Linked DNA regions of Notamacropus eugenii. The protein of the gene in region 1 purifies or fractionates together with the protein of each later gene. This does not show direct contact. Links are inferred from orthologs where the notes say so. Each region holds a gene or a part of one and is shown on either strand. Other genes may lie near its edges.

Region 1 (8,097 bases):
AAATCAGGACCATATTTGCTCTTCTCCAGTCTTGTGACACTTCTCCCGTTCTCCATGGGGGGAGGGGAGGGGAGGGAGAGGCTCAACCCTCCTACTGGCCACTTCTTTTAATGCTGGATCTGGTCATTTGAATCTATCCAAGGCTCTAGGAGTTCTCTTATTCTCCTCTCCTCACTTGCTGATCACCACATCCCTATTAATCACATTTGTTCTGCCTGGTCTAGTCTAAGGAACATTCTCTTTGGCAGAGAAAAGAGGAGCTAGAAAAAAATTGATAAGTTTAGCTGTTCCTTGGTCATCAAGAGTTTTGGTTCCCCACACCCTAAGAGGGAATCCTGACCTTTCTATCACCCTCTTTTTTTTCTGTGGGCAGTGGAATTAAGAGTCCTAGCCTCTGGTTGCCCTCAGTCATTCTCCCACAAAGAAATGCCTGGGGAAATCAGACCCAGCCTCCCAGCTCATTGTGCAGGACTGGAGCTCTCCTAAGCCCTTCCATGTTCTTCCTCCTTTCTTCTTCCATGCTCTTGTGTCCTGTAGATCTGAACCAAATCAAGGGCCTTTCCTCCTCTCACCTTTTTATCATGTTTCAACCTAATTCAGGTGGTGAGTGCTCTGGGTATCCATATTGACATCTTCTTTCCTCCTTCTCCTTCTCTTCCTTCTTAAAAAAAATCAGTCATTCCTGGATGTTACCTCCCCCACCCCCATCTCATACTTCAGCTGTCCTTTGTAAGAAAGAAAAGTCATTAAGCACAAACCTCTGACCCATGGTACTGGCCAATGCATACAGCTCTCCCCCTGCCCCGTAGGCGTCCCCTTTCATTATCTCTTCCCAGAAAAGGAGGATGGTTTTTATAATTTTTCAGAAGGGTCTCCTTTGAGGGCTCTTTCTATTGAAATCTGTGTAGCTCGTGTGCACCTTCTGAACTTTCTCTGAGTTCTTCATTTTTGTCATTTGTTTCTGCACAATACCCTGAGACTGCGTGGTCATTCTGGCAGTTTGGGCACCCACTCTGTTTCTATTTCTTTGCTACCACAAAAAAGGCTGCTGCAAATACTTCATATGCTGGGCCTTTTGTGCCTGGTTTGGACCTCCTTGGAGCAGATGTGCTATGTTTATTTCCTTTGTGTTGATTCTCTATTTATATATGTCCTTGTTGTCCCACCCCCACCCCCAGCTGAAGCTCCTGCCCATGGGGATGGTCTCCATTCTCATGTGGATGGTCTCCATTCTCATGTGGATGTGTGTGTGGCACCTAGCATAGGGCCCAGCACAGTATAAGGCATTAATAAGCCCTTGCTGACTGTGAAAGACAAAGCTATCATTAAGACAAATTGAGAAATAATCATTTGCTCTGATTTGGGCAGAGGGAAAGCTCTGCAGCGTGCCCAGAAGATTGAAGTTCTGTCTCCCCTTTAGGTCAGGCCCCTGGCCTAGGTAGGAGGTCCTTTGTCCAGGCTCCTCATCCATTGCCTCTTTCTGTCTCAGTGGACCATACCAAATTCTACCAACCATTCCATTTTTGTTTCTGTTCAAGTGCTGCCTGCTTCCTGCATCTCCTCCCCTGAGTGCTTCCTCACCCTCCTCTCTACCCCCCCCAAGGCTCTGTGAAGTTGGACAGGCATTCCCAACTGTTCAGGTCCTCCTGTGTGCAGGGTGCCTAGGATGAAACAGGGGTTTTCATTCACCTGGGCTGGGCTACAGCCCTCAGGGGAGATATCTATCTCAGTAAGCTGGCTATTTTTAGTTTGCTGCATCCTCTGGAAAGGCATGTGCTGAAGGGGAAAGATGGTGGGACTTGGTGTCAGCATACTCCCTGGTGTGTCAGCCTCAGGCTGTCCATCTGTGAAATGGGGATAGTAATGGCAAGCCCTCGGCCCCATATGCCAGACAAGCAGAGCTGCTACCTTCTTTTCTTTTACCCTTGGGGTCTGGGCTGCTGAGGGAGCACCCAGACCTATCTTTCTTCCTCCCTCCTACCTGCCTTCTCCCAGTTAGAGCAGCAGCTGCAGCAGCGGACCTCAGAGCAGCTAGAGATGCAGGTACAGAATGCCCAGCTCTGGCTGGCGAATGAGGAGCTTCGGACGCAGCTGGAGCAGAGCCAGGCCCAGCTGGAGGTGACTCGGGAGCAGCTGCTGAGGCTGCAGGCTGAGGCTCAAGCTGAGAAAGAGCAGAAGCACAGGTCCTGCAGCAGGGGGTTGCCCACTCTGGCTGTGGGGGTTGGGGAGGGGCCCTGGGGTCCTGGGTCCCACTCTGAGAGCAGGCTTCATACCTCAGTTTCCCTTTGCCTTTCTCCTTGCCCATCATTCTCCTACCTGGAAAGAAGCCAGGTAGGGCCTAGGACCATCTACCCTGCTCTACCCTTCTGGATGAGAGGGGGCTAGAAATGACCTGAGCTCTGGGGATCCACTAGGGATCACGGAGCATGAGCCACAGGGGATGGGGGGGTGTCAGAAACATCCGAGTCATCTCCCTGCCCCATCCTACCCTGGCCCACAGGGATGTGGTCATTGTGTCCAGAAACATGCAGACGGAGAAACACAGCCTCCTCCGGCAGCTGGAGTTACTGAGGTGAGCTTGGGGCAGAAGCCAGGCTCACGGCCTCTCCCACATTTGGAAACGTTGTGCCCCTCTGTCTTCCTGGCTCCTCTCCCTCTTTAGCCTCAGTGGCTTCCACTTCCCCCTTTACCCACATCTCTCTACCCCCTTGTCACACCCCTGTTCTCTCTCTTATGCTGATCCCACCAGAGACCTGAATAGAAGACTTCGGGATGAGAGAGACATCTTCGAGGCCAAGAAGCTGGTTAGTGGGCAGAGGAGGAAGACTCTAGCTCCACCTGCCCGCTTCCCCCTGGGCCCCTGCTCTAGCTGCTGCCGCTGCAGTTGTCCCCATCGGGCCAGCCCTTGACACTGGAACCTGACTAAGGCAGGCCTCATCCCTCTTCTGGCTAGCTGGAGGCCCCAGCAGGAGCGCCTTCCCTTCACTGATTTCCATCTCATCCCAGGTCCCCTGCAAGGGCCTGGCTGCCCAGCGTCTGCTGCAAGACCAGGTCCAAAGTGGCCCATTTAATGGCGGCTCTAATGGGAGTAGCTGCAAATGACAATTCTGTTCCCTCCCCTTTGTGCTCCTGCTCCTGGGGTGTGGGAGGGACTGGGGAGGCCATGAGGCACCAGAGTAAGGCCAGGCCAGGAAGGACTAGGGCAGCCCCAGTTGGCTCAGGCTCTAGTCATGTGGCTGAAACCTCTTGTCCCCCCCAGCTCCTGGCCCAGGAAGCCACACCTCTCCTGGTCCCAAGCAGAACTGCATGAGGCCTGGGTCTGAACTGCCAAGATGAAGGATTAAACCCCAACGGCATCGTCCCTTCCTACACCCTGTCCTGAGTGGGATACATCAGAGCATACCTGTCCCCAAATATACCCACTAATGCATCAAGTGTCCCTTGTCATGTTTCTGGGATGGTCCGGGAAAGCGATGGGAGTGTAGCGTTCAGGAAGCATTTCCTCATATCCACTCTGGTGCCTAGGACAAAAAACTCCTCAGGAAGCATAATGAGACCAAACTGGTCCATGGGGACAAAGCTGAGCGGCCAGAGGGCGGCCTATGCTCATTGGAGGAGGAGTCTAGCAGAACCGGCAGACCTTGCAAGCTCCAGGGACGTGCCTCCCCGACTTTGGTCTCATCTCCCGCCAGGTGGCGCTGACTGCTCTACTACTGGGGCACTTGGGGGTGAGGGCTCCTGGCAATCCTGGAGCCATCCTGGCCCTGAGAGTCTCATCTACACTGGCCCATGACTCGCTTCTACTCCTTTTGGGGTTACTTTTTTCATGGCACCTTAATGCTTATAAGGGGAGGGAAATGAGCACTTACTTGGCCCCTGATGGGTGCCAAGAACTGTGCTGACTGCTTTATAATTATCTCATTTGATCCTCACAACTCTGGGAGGAGGGGGGTGCTGTCAGGGTCCGTAACATCTGCTTTGCTGCCTCGCTACCCCTCGATAAAGCCCATCCCTCAGAATGGATTGGGAGGGAGACAATGCAGGTGTCACCCTATTTCAAAGAAGCAACTGAGGCTCACTGCCACGTGTTGTGCCCAAACCTAGTGTTAGGCTGGGCACTCAAAAAGCAGGACTGAGGAAGACAGAGAAGCCCATGTGCCCTATCTGCCCCGGGGCCTTCAGCACCAGCTGCCTCCTGAGGCCTGGGACAAATCCCTCCTGGGAACAGGGAGCTGACTCCCCCAGCCAGCAGTCAATACACATGTACCGAGCGCCTGCTGTACACTCAGCAGGGTGCACATTGGCAGGAGGAGGCAGGCAAAGTGGAATTTGAACCCAGACCCAGTTCAAATCCAGACCTTCCCCGAGGTGCGAGGACTTGGCTGGGCAGGCAGAGCCTGAACAGAAGGCGGCCAGGCAGAACCTGGTTTTGCTTGGCCCTAGGGATCAGAAGACTCGCAGGGGACAGCCCCTTTGCACCCCCTAGGCTGACCCGTCCATCGAGTCCTCCGGGGCACAGGAACCTGGGGAGGGTGACCTCTCCTATCGACACCCCCCCCCCCCGGGCACAGGAATCTGGGGGTGCCCCTAGGGCACAGGGACGGGGTGGGGCGTGGGGGAGCGTCGGCAAAGCCCCGGTCAAGCTCTTCTTGGGAAGTTGGGGGGGCTGGAAGTGAGAGCCCCGCCCCTCTCCGCCTGGCGGCTTCTCCCCTGACTCCTGCTCAGGCCGGGGTGCAGGCTGGGTCCACTGAGGCAGCAGGCCTGCCGCGAGAGGGGCCGGCCAGCTCGTGGACCGGTAGAAGGGTCCCCCATTAAGGCTGCTCAACGCAGAGCGAACTGCGCCATGGCCTGGGCTGGGCGGGGGCCGGGCCTGGGGCGGGTGGGCGGGGGTCTGTCTGGGGCGGGGCCTGGGGCGGGTGGGCGGGGTCTGTCTGGGGCGGGGCCTGGGGCAGGCGGCCGGGGGTCTGTCTGTCAGGGGCGGGTGGGCGGGGTCTGTCTGGGGCGGGGCCTGGGGCGGGTGGGCGGGGTCTGTCTGGGGCCGGGCCTGGGGCAGGCGGGCGGGGTCTGTCTGTCGGGCCTGGGCCGGAGGCCTCACATTCCGTCCGGTCCCGTCCCTGTCCCATCCCTCCGCCCCGGAGCCGGCGCCTTCTGCTTCTCTGCGCTCGGGCCGCCCGCAGGTTGGTGAGAGGCTGGGGTGGGGGAGTAGGGATCTAGGGGGGCGAAGGGCGGGCTCTGGGGTTCCGGCCCTTCCCCGACCCGGCCGCGGCCTGCGCTCCACCCCCTCCCCCCACCCGGGTCTGGACTGGGCTGACCTGTAGAGGGGATCAGGAGAGGATGAAGGCCTGGTCTCTGGCCTCCCCACCTGCCTGGCCCCCAAGGTACCCCCCCCACCTACCCCGGTGCTCCGGCCCTTTCTGCCTCAGTTTCCCTTCCAGGACCATGGCGACCATGCTGACCAGAGAGGCAGAGGGCCTCAGTGGAGTGGAAGGGGGCGCTCCTCTGGTGGAGCAATTGTTCCTCCCAGGGAGGGGGGGCTTCTTACAATGTGTGTGTGCATGTATATATGTATGTGCATATGTGTATGTGTATAGGTGTGTATGTATGTGGGGGTGCCACTGTGACCATCTCCTTTTCTCCAGCTCAATCGGGGCCTCCACCAGGAAGGCCTCCCTGACTCCAGCTCTTTCCCTGGCTGGGGAACGTATTATATTTCCCATCTTTCCACTGGCTGTGACTTTCTATAACTTTGGGGTGGGTGGGGCTGTCAACGATGAGATCTTGTTGGACTGGGAGTGAGGTGGGGGTCCTGGCAGCCTGGCTTTGCCCCAGCATACGGGCATCCTGGAGTTACTCCTGCGGTCCCCTTTGGGGAATGGGAGTGAGTGTGTGTGTGTGTGTGTGTGTGTGTGTTGGGTGGGGCATAAGGCCAGCCCCCTGTGACTGGAAGGGCTATTTCTGTCCCAGCAGCATCGATGGCAGCAGTTGGGACCAGCGTCCCTCCTGGGACTTAGATCCTGGGAAGCTGTGGTGGGAGCAAGCCACCCCTTGCCCCTCTCTGCACTCCTGGGAGCTGGCTGGGGTCAGCCAGGGCCTATGGCTATGGCCTTCTGGGATGGAGCAGCCCCTGTTCCCTCAGCCTCCCAGAACCTTCACTGATGCTTCTGGGAGACAGCTCCTGGATGTGTTCTCAGGGTCTATTTGCTTGTCCTTGGTGGCGTTTTTGCTCTCCTCCTCAAACCTGACCAGAGGCTGGCAGGACAGGCCTGGGGCATGTGGGTGCTGAACATCCAGAGGGCTTCTCTTAGCCATCCATCCGTCTACTGCACTTGGATACCAGAGGACCCTGCCCAAACTGCCTTCTAACAGTTTGGAAATGAGCTGGGACCCTGGGACACTTGGGGGAAACTAAGAGGGTCAGGGAAGGCAGCTCAGCAGGGTAGGGAGAGGATTTCCAGCGGTCCCCTAAGGTTCCCCGCTCTGTTGCCGGAAGGACTGGTTCTTGACCCTCTCTGCTCACCTCAGGAGTTGGTCACACCCCGGAGTATACCCCTCCTCTTCCCCACCTGGGCTAAAAGGGTAGAGTGACTTGCCCCGCTCTAGATGTCCCCTCATATCAGGTGCACCGGAAGGGCTAGGGAGGTATATAACTGATAACCAGGCTTCAGGATGGGGAGCAGCCCAGAAGTGGGCAGGGCAAGCTGCTGGTCAAGGACCAAGGGTCTAAAGTCCAAGTGAGGGTAGAAGTGAATCTGCTGTTGCAGCAGGGAAACTGAATCAGGTCGGTCCACTACCACTGATGGAACACTTGGTGGGTGCTGGGCCCAGTCTAGGCACTGGGCCACAAAGGAAGGTAATAGCCCCTGCTGACCTGCGGAGATGATGCACAAATGCCAATCCACTTCATCTCCTTGGGTTTCTGCTTCCCAGGCCTGGAAGAAGTCTCTGTCAGCCCCTTCCCTTACCACTTTTTGTACCAAAAAACACTTATTGGTGTCCATTGTCCACTGGCATAGGGGAGGGTCTGAGCCAGAGAAGACCCCTACCAGGTCCCTGACACCCCCCTGCCCAGAGTGCGAAAGGGTCACTGGAGAGGCAAAGAAGCAGAGTTGGTAGAGGGCAGGGGCCCTCAAAGACTTATGTTGTTCAGGAGATGCTGGGGGTCCATTGTGACCCAGTGGTTAGAGTGGGAAGAGTCCTTAGAGACAGCAGCCTCTCATCCTACAGAACAGGGGCTGGAAGGGCCTGTCTGAAGCGAGTAGCTGAGCAGAGGGTGGGTACAGGGCTCTCTGGTGGGGTATGGTCAGCAGCATTTGGCCCCTGGCTGGAGGGAGGGGCCATCCTTTCTCAGCTCTCTTCCATGCTCTCTTCTCTCCTCCCCTTCCCCCAGGACCAGTTGATTCCTGCCTGGTTCAGTTCCTCTGGGCTGGACCCAGCTCTGACGTTCGGCCTAGGGAATGCAGTGCAGGGGAGGGGCTGAGGGAGGAGCCAAGGCCATGCGGGGGCTGATCACCCAGTGTTTAGTGTGCCCTGTGGAGGGAACCTGAACCCTGGGGCTTGTGTGGGAGCATCCTGCCCTGCCCTGCCCTAGCGTGCCCTGAGGCTTCCTTCTTTGCCTGGGAGATCCTGGAGGCCAGAGGAGGGTGGGGAGACCCAGACCACCTGGGCTGGGGAGGGCCGACTGGTGGATGGCCCCCTCCCTTGGCCGGTCTTTTGGACTGGTCATTTCTGCCAGGAAACTGCCCATTGTCCTGGTTTCCTGGGAAAATACTCCTCAGTTGTGAATGTGCCAGGTGTCTGAGGGTGGACAGGACCTCTCCCAGCCCCCATCCAGCTGCCCCCCATCCCTCTCGTTGTGTCTCCTGGGGTGAAGGGTTTAGAGTCTGGTCGGGGCAGAGCCTGTCTTCCTAACCTGCGCTGGCACTCCCTTAGGGCTCCCCTTTGACTTAGGAGGTTCTCTCCCCACCCTGGGCTCTCAAGATGGGCGAGTATAACGAGAAGAAGGAGACGTGTGGTACCATCTGCCTGAAATACCTGCTCTTTACCTTCAATTGCTGCTTCTGGGTAAGATGGACCAGCGCAGAGGGAGGGGGAAAGACC
Region 2 (7,980 bases), about 320 Mb from region 1:
AGGGGTGGGGCAAGGGGAAAAGACAGAAGATGGGATTTGAACTGAGTTTTAATGAAAGTCAGACAAGCTAGAAAGCAGAAGATAAGTGAGAGCAACGTAGGTACTGAATGGAGAGACTACATGTTCTATGCAAAATTAGCCCCTTCTTACCTCCTAATCCCTCAGAATTCCCCATTCAGACTCCCTTCTCCAACTACTGAGTGGACCATGCACTCAGCTCTAGTCCATATCTCAGTTTCTCCTGTCCTCCAACCTCTCTGATTAGAAGTACATTTTCCTCTTCTTTCCAACTCCCCAGTCCTGTTCTTGCTCCTTCATTCCAACCCTATTCTCCATTTCCCTCTTTGGAGAAGTCCTCCCTTATTCCCCTTCCCCCTGTCCATAGAAGGAAATTAACCCAAATACCCTCATCTGTTGGTCCCTGTCTGTGTCCCCAGGATACAACGCATCTGCTTTATGACAGAAGTCCACAAGAGACCATGTTTAAGGAGGCTGAGCCTGAAGTGAAGCAATGGTTAGTGAAGTCATAGTGACTGAAGTTACTTAAGTGATTCTAGCCCTTGGAAGAGGCTGGAAAAGAATAGCTAACAGAGAGGTGACTGCTTTAGGGACCTAGTATTTTTCTTCATGACTTTTCCTCTTTGCAGTCCCTGCCTCCTCTCGATGCCTTTCCCTGCTGCTCCTCTCCTCCCATCAGCCTTTGGAATCTGGGATCTCCCCCACATTCCTTGGCTCTCCTTCCTTTTTGTCCATGGCTTTGTTATCTCCGTCCAGAGACTAACTTCTCTAACTCTCAGTTTTCCTCTGCTTGACTAGTAATCCCCTGTTCCAGTCTCCATTCTAACTTTAAAGCTACTATTCTCTCCCCTGAAATGGAAAAAAAATCCTCATCCTTTTCCTACTTCCCATCCCTGGGATCGGACATGCCAGTCATTTCTGTTTGGGATGGTAGGGGAGATAATAGTTGACATGTAGCCTGAACCCTAACCCTGGAGGTGATCTCAAAGCACTTTTCAGATAGGAGTGCTGTCCTCAATCCCTTAATCACTAATGATCTCTTCATGTTGGGATCCTATCTCCTTTCTACATCTGAATATCATTCCTACTGTAATAACATTCCTACTGGGATGGTCAAATGAATGGCTGATGCAACAGCAAAAAGGGCCAAAGGCTGTGGGTTTAGTCTGTCTAGAACAGGTAGCTTTGCTCTATTTCCTGGACACAGTATGCACTGTGGTCACTATGTCACCCAGGGAACTGGGATTGGTACCATTTTAGTTACATTTACGTTTTGCACTGCATTTCAAGGTTTACAAAGCACTTTACACACATTATCTCACCTGAGTTTCATAACAACCCTATAAGGGATATGTGCAAAGTATGATTGCCCCCATTTTACAAATGAGGAAATTGAAGCCTAGGGAGGTTAAGTGACTTACCTGCCCAAGTTCACTGAAGTAGTAAGTTTCTGAGGCAATATTTAAACCCAGGTCTTCCCAATTCTCTGGTCTAACACTCTAGCCATTATACCATGCTTCCAGTTTTAATTACCTCATCCTCCATAAACATTTCTTTGCAACATCACTGTAGAAACAAACAACACAGAAAAATTTAAGCATTCTGATCAATGCAATGATCAACCACCATTCTATTAGACCTGTGGTGATCTATGTAACCTCTTTCCTGAAGGAGGTGACAGACTCAAGAAGCGGAAGAAGATCTACATTTCTGGACATGGATAATGTGGGGATCTGTTTGATTGACTATGCATCCTTGTTTCAAAGGTTTTGTTTTAATTTTTCTTTCAATTGGACCGGGAAGGTGAGAAGGAGAGAGGGGTTGGGGAAAGATTTTTGAGAGACAGAGGAAGAGAGAGAGAGAGAACAGAAGGAAAGCCAGAAGGAATTACAGACAAGAAAGATAGGTTTAAATGTTACATTTTTTATTTACTTAAAAATAAAAGCAAGCTCTACATAATAAAAACTCACAGTTGCAAGTATAATTCTCACCTTCTGTTCAACAAGGACACACAAAATAAAATAAAGAACTCTTTCTCTAGACCCTGTCCCATCTCCCACCCTCATCATTTTTCGGTTGTGTGTGACTCTGTGATCCTATTTGGGGTTTTCTTGACGAAAATGCAGGAATGATTTACCCTTTCTTTAGCTCATTTTACAAATGAGTAAACTGAGGCAAACAGGGTTAAGTGACTTGCCCAATCTGAACCTAGGAAGATGGGTCTTCCTGACTCCAGGCCCAGTGCTCTATCCCATGTGCCACCTAGCTGCCCCTCCTAGTTGCCCCTCCTTCAGTTTAGACAGTTAATTCATGATAAAGGTACTGCTGCCCTCCTTGAAGAGTAATAATAATAGCTAACATTTGTTTAACACTTTAAAGTTTACAAAGTCCTTTATATATCTTAGCTCATTTAATCCTCACAGTGATCTTGTGAGGTAAATTTATCTCAGTTTTACAGATTGATGAAAACTGAGGTAGAAAGAGATTAAGTGATTTGCCAGGTTCACACGGCCAATAACCTATCATTCCAACAACTGGAAGCATATCAGTCTCCATGAATTAATAATAATAGCTTATATAGCTGCCTACTAGGAGCCAGGTACTGTGCTAAGTGCTTTCCAACCATTATCTTGTTTGATCCTCAGGACAACCCTGTGAGGTGAGTGATATTGAGTGATATTATTATATCCATTTTGCCGATGAGGAATCTGAAGCCATCAGAGGCTAAGGTCACATAGCTGATACACATCTAAGATCATACTTGAACTCAGGTCTTCCTCACTCTGGAGCCTGCAGCTGCCTCCACTGTGGGTCTCTTGAAGATTGTGAAGAAGTGGATCTCTACTCTTCTTGGTAATTTACTAAGGGAGAATTTCCAGTTAGGAGAGGAGACCAGTTAGGAGATGTTTTAAAAGAAGAGATGGTGAAAGATTGGCCATCATCCTTATCATGGGCAGGGGAACAGATGAGATAAGTTCAGGGTCCTTTCCAGCTATCATGGTGTGTGGTTGATGATTTCTTAGGAGACCCACCCACCTGCACAGGAGCCACCACCCAGTGTCAACAGTGCTCCCTGGCTCAGCCTCCCCATCCAATCCTCAGAGGCTTGGCTAAAGGTCAGGATTCAAAGAAAATCCAGGGTGGGGCTGCTCCCAAAGATAATGGAATAAGGGAGAGGGAGGATCCCATGATCACCCTTTTCAAGAGGGGCTTTTTAAGGAGAGGAGAGGAGAGGATAAACCAGCTGGGTTAGATTCAGTGTAGTGCTATCTGCTGGCTGCTGATGGGAAGACATTACCTCCAACAGGATCTGGGAATTATGATTAGGTTAGAGGCCTCTGAGATGGTGGTGCAATGAATACCATGCTGAACTTTGAGGTTCAAATTGTGCTACAGAGGCTTTTTGCCAACAAGTCAGGGCCGGCGCCTAGGTAGTTCAATGGATAGAGCAATGGCCCCGGAGTCAGGAGGACTTAATCCGGGCCTCAGACACTTAATAGCTGTGTGACCCTGGGCAATTCATTTGATCCGGTTTGCCTCAGTTTCCTCATATGTAAAATGATGTAATACTAGTTCTGACCTTGGAAAATTATGAGGATCAAATGAGATAACATGCAAAAGTACTTAAATATGTATTATTATTGTTATTAAAGGAGGTTGAGGAGCAAGGACTCCAGGGTCCACCCAATTCCCAGTTCACTAGACATATCACTGAGTGGGAAATGTAGGTGTGACTTAGTTTCCTCCTGGTTAAATGGCAGACTGCGAATGCCTGGCACTTTGAGATTCCGAAAGATGCGTTGTTAGGGACCTTCGGGCTATATCATTACTAATTAATGTCGATTTTATCTGGCATGTTCGTCCTCCATTCACTCCCAGAAACAAGCAAGGCTTGGGACAACTGTCCGCACACAGCGCCCAGAGGAGAGGATGGTTCAGAGATTTCAGCGACCTTCTCCAGGACAAACAGCCAGAAGAGAGGAAAGGCTGGGATCCGAACCAGCCCGAAAGCCGGACATTCCTAGCCTGAGAGGAGAGATAACCCCGAGAGGCTCCAGCCGTCTGCTGACCTCTCCCGGAGGGCTCTGAGCCGGGACGCGATCGCTGCGGCAGCACCAATAGCCGCAGCGGCGGCGGCGAGAGCAGTCTGCAGGACACCTTTCCCGCCGCCGCCCCGGGCTTCCCTACCCGATGGTCCGGTAGCAGAATGCCGGGAGACAGCGGGGTCGGGTCTTGGGGGGCCCTGAACAGGTGTTTAGGGAGGGCGCCGGGGGGCGGAGGGAGGGGCGCAGCTTCCCCTTTAAGAGGTGGTTGCAGAGCCGAGCCCTTCTCCACCCTTTCCCCGGAAGAAAAGCGGAGCCTAGGCCGAGGCGTGCTAGGTGGGGAGGTGCGGAGCTGGGCGTGGGGAAGGCGGGGCCGCAGGACCCCTCCCTCCCGCCCTCCCTTGCTCCCTCGCAGCCGCGATCCGGCCCCCGCAGCCCGTAGCCCGGATCGGGTAGCAAGCGCCTGCAGAGCGCGGAGGGCGCAGCTTGAGAGGAGCCTGAGGGAGGGGAAAGTGGCAGGAGGGCAGGGCCGAAGACGCCGGGGGCCGGAGGGTCAGTCCGTGCGGACTGCGGTGACACAGCCCAGAGGAAGGAGGGAAGGGAAGAGGGGTGCTACTGACGCCGGCGGGGTGGGAACCCCTGCGAGGACAGGGTGTGAAACTGACCAGGGGTACCTGACTGGACTAAGTGGGGCCACCTGACGGGATTGGCTGAGGGACTGTCGGCTACGCCGCAGGCGGCGACGGGGAAACAGGTGAATCTCACCCCCCACGCCTTCCCCGCGCCCCCAATATACACCCATCCGCCCCACCGGGTCGGCTGGAACCATGGACCCGGACCCCCGAGGCCGCCGTGCCCCCTGTGCCCAGCGCCTGCCCCTCTGCGCCTTGGCGCTGGCCCTGGCAGCCGCCGGCTGTCGCGTTGCCTCCGCCTTCAACCTGGACACCCGGTTCCTGGTGGTGAAGGAGGCCTCGAACCCCGGGAGCCTCTTCGGCTACTCGGTCGCCCTCCACCGGCAGACTGAGCGGCAGCAGCGTTACCTGTGAGTGGGGGCGGGAGCGGCAGCTGGGGGTGGCGGGAGACCGGGACATCAAAGAGGGACCTCCTACATTCCCGTACCCAGCCCACTTCCTTTGAGCGCTTAGAACGCCCCTGAGGTTTAAGAATTTTGGGGCCCGGCACTGGGTAGCTTTGCCGAGAGGGGAAGGACTGAGCGGGGAGAAGAAGAGGGGGGTGAGGCGGCGGGACCTGCGGTGGGAGGGGAGTAGATAATCCCTAACACGTGCAGGAGCTGCTCCAACCTGCCTCTCCCCTCTAGAAAAATTCCCAGTCTTGAGGCACAGGCTGGGGGTGGGGTACCCTTTGTGCCTGGAGACCCGACTAGGAGTGACCGGGTTGCCGAACTCTCTCCTTAGCTCCTAATCCTGGGCACCTAGCTGGGCTTTGAAATCTTAGGACTTGGGTCCCCAGTCGTGGGGAACGGGAAAAGGCCCTAAGGGAACAGCCATGTGTCAGGAAGAAATCCTCAGCCTGTTGACCCTCTCACCTTGACTGTCCACCTTGTCCTGACATTCCCCACCACACTAGCCATATCTTCGACATGTCCAGGGATAATAGCATCCCAAGATCTAGAGCTGAGGAAATCTAGTTAAACCCCCTCCTTTTACAGAGTAGTTAACTGAGGCCCAGAGAAAGGAGGAAGGACTTGCCCAGGGTTACGGGAGAAGTAGTCATTTATTCCTTATGTGTGTACATAGAACCTTCATGACTTACAAAGCAGGTGTCTTTGCTATAGTCACCCTGTGAAGGGAACATCTGTATATCAAATGACTCGAAGTAACTGTCCCTAAAACATTCACCTAGTACAGTGTCCTGATCTGGATTCGAATTCTGATCCTCTGATTCTGAATGGAGGACTTTCCTCTCTGATTCAGGATGAATGGATTGGATAGATGGAAGCTGTTTCGTTGATTGAGGTCTGGAGGGGGAGTGCTACCTTGACCTAACTAACCCCTGTGCGCCCCCTTGAGGTGCCAGTGGTGGGAAGAGGGCACACTATCCCAATGCTTTCCCACCCCAACAGTTGGGACCCCCCCCACCTCCTCCCGAGCATCTTCTCCACATTCCACACATTCATGCTGAATCTTCAACCCTGAGTGTGTTTGTTTTGGTTTGAAGAGGAAACTGGTATTTTTTTCTCTTTTCTCTCCTCTCTGTTTCCACCCTTTCCCCCCCCCAAATAGCTTCTGAGAAAAGGAAGGGGGCAGGGAGGTCAGTGTTCTGGACAGAGAAGGTGATAGCATCCAGCTGTTTTTGTCCTGAGTCCCATATTGGTTGAGATGGTTGTAATGTTGACCCATTTATTACTGCAGGTTGAGTGTTTTAGGATCTTCAAATGGGGTACTTGTCATTGTTCAGTCATGTCTGACTTTTCATGATCCCTTTTGGGGGTTCCTCGACAAAGATACTAGAGTGGTTTGCTATTTCCTTCTTTGGCTCATTTTTACAGATGAGGAAACTGAAGCAAAGAGGGTGAAGCGACTTGCTCAGGATCACAAAGGTAGTAAGTGTCTGTGTTCAAATTTGAACTCAGATCCTCCTGGCTCCAAGTCTGGTCCTCTCTTCACTACTTCACCTAGCTCCCTCAGATGGAGTATAGGCTGGGCATTTATTTTGTCATTTTATTTTATTTTGGTGGAGGTGAACTTGGGCAGGAAGGCCTTCATGAGAGATGGGGGTGATGGGTGTGTCAGGGGGATCAGGGGAAGGTAACAGGAGCAGTTCCGCTTTCTCAGAGCTGGGTGGCCGTAATGGAGAGAGCTCTCAACTTCTACACCCAGGAAGTAGTGGAGTGGTTGAAGGTGTTTGGGGAATTATAGCAAAGCACAGGGCCCTGCCCTGCCTAGTCCTAGTCCTATGGCCTTCCTGAGAAGCGGCTAAAGTCCAAACCTCCTCAGCAGTCTTGACCTTTGACCCCTGACTGAGAGATCCCAGCTCCATCCAGAGCTTAACCCTAAAACTTGGGAAAGGTTGAGGAAGGACCAGGGAGTCTGGAGTGCTGTGTTCTCCTCATGATACTCAGCCTGAAAAGTGATAGGGACACTTTTCTCCATTTTCCAAGGGGACTGTCTTTGGAGACCCTAGATACAGCTTCTTCCTTAGTTTAGAGTATAGCAGGGATTTTCCGCAAGAAGCAATGAAGTGCTCTCCTACTCCTGAGAGTCAGGAGACCTGGATCCTAATCCTGGCTATGTGACTTTGGGCAAGTCAATTCCCCTCTCTTCAATTTCCTCCTGTAAAACAAAAGACTTGAAGGGATGAGATGATGTTATCCAGTGAAAAGAGCACTGGTGTTTGTCAGAGGATCTGGGCTCAAATATTGGCTTTGCTAATGCTAATTTATGACCTTGGGCAAGTCACTTAACATCCCTGGGTCTCAGTTTCCTCATCTGTTAAACAAGAGGATTGAATTAGATGGCCTCTGAAAACCCCTTCAGTTCTAAGTCTATGATCATCTAATCTCTGAGGTCCCTTCTCCTAGGCTCTGACAGTCTCTAATTCCACATACCTTCCCCTGACTCCCAGAGTGAGAATTATCAATGGCATGAGTACTACTCAACTGCCCTGTGGTAAATGAGCTAAATCTTTAGATACCTGAGTCTCTCTACACTTTGTTCCAAATGTCCTCTTCAACACATCTCAAAGCACTACCGTTCAGAATCATGGACTTTCAGAGTTTTAAGGGACTTTGTAGTCTGCTGCCTCCTTCCCCTTGCCTCAAAATGTCCTTTTCAGGTGTTTTTGAGTGTAGAGATTCTGGATCTCTCTGTGACAACTGGACCTACCTGAACCTAGAAATCTAGGTCATATATATAGGGGGAGGGAAGGGTATGTATGAGAGGGATGGAGAAATTGTGAT

The links.
Region 2: the proteins of CD151 (region 1) and ITGA3 purify together in Homo sapiens (co-immunoprecipitation; 4 studies listed by BioGRID and IntAct, with this or other methods). This does not show direct contact. The link is inferred for Notamacropus eugenii from reciprocal best matches to the Homo sapiens genes CD151 and ITGA3.

What each region holds. Positions count from the first base shown.
Region 1 is NC_092873.1:27,466,647-27,474,743, reverse strand, and holds the start of CD151 (CD151 antigen), read left to right. Parts: upstream 1-5,019; 5' UTR 5,020-5,177; intron 5,178-6,827; exon of another isoform or gene 6,828-6,850; intron 6,851-7,509; exon of another isoform or gene 7,510-7,640; intron 7,641-7,929; 5' UTR 7,930-7,977; coding exon 7,978-8,061; intron 8,062-8,097. Other genes in the region: CRACR2B (EF-hand calcium-binding domain-containing protein 4A), read left to right, coding at 1,996-2,183, 2,501-2,572, 2,750-2,909. UniProt on the Homo sapiens protein: Structural component of specialized membrane microdomains known as tetraspanin-enriched microdomains (TERMs), which act as platforms for receptor clustering and signaling.
Region 2 is NC_092873.1:350,538,975-350,546,954, reverse strand, and holds the start of ITGA3 (integrin alpha-3), read left to right. Parts: upstream 1-4,738; 5' UTR 4,739-4,888; coding exon 4,889-5,103; intron 5,104-7,980.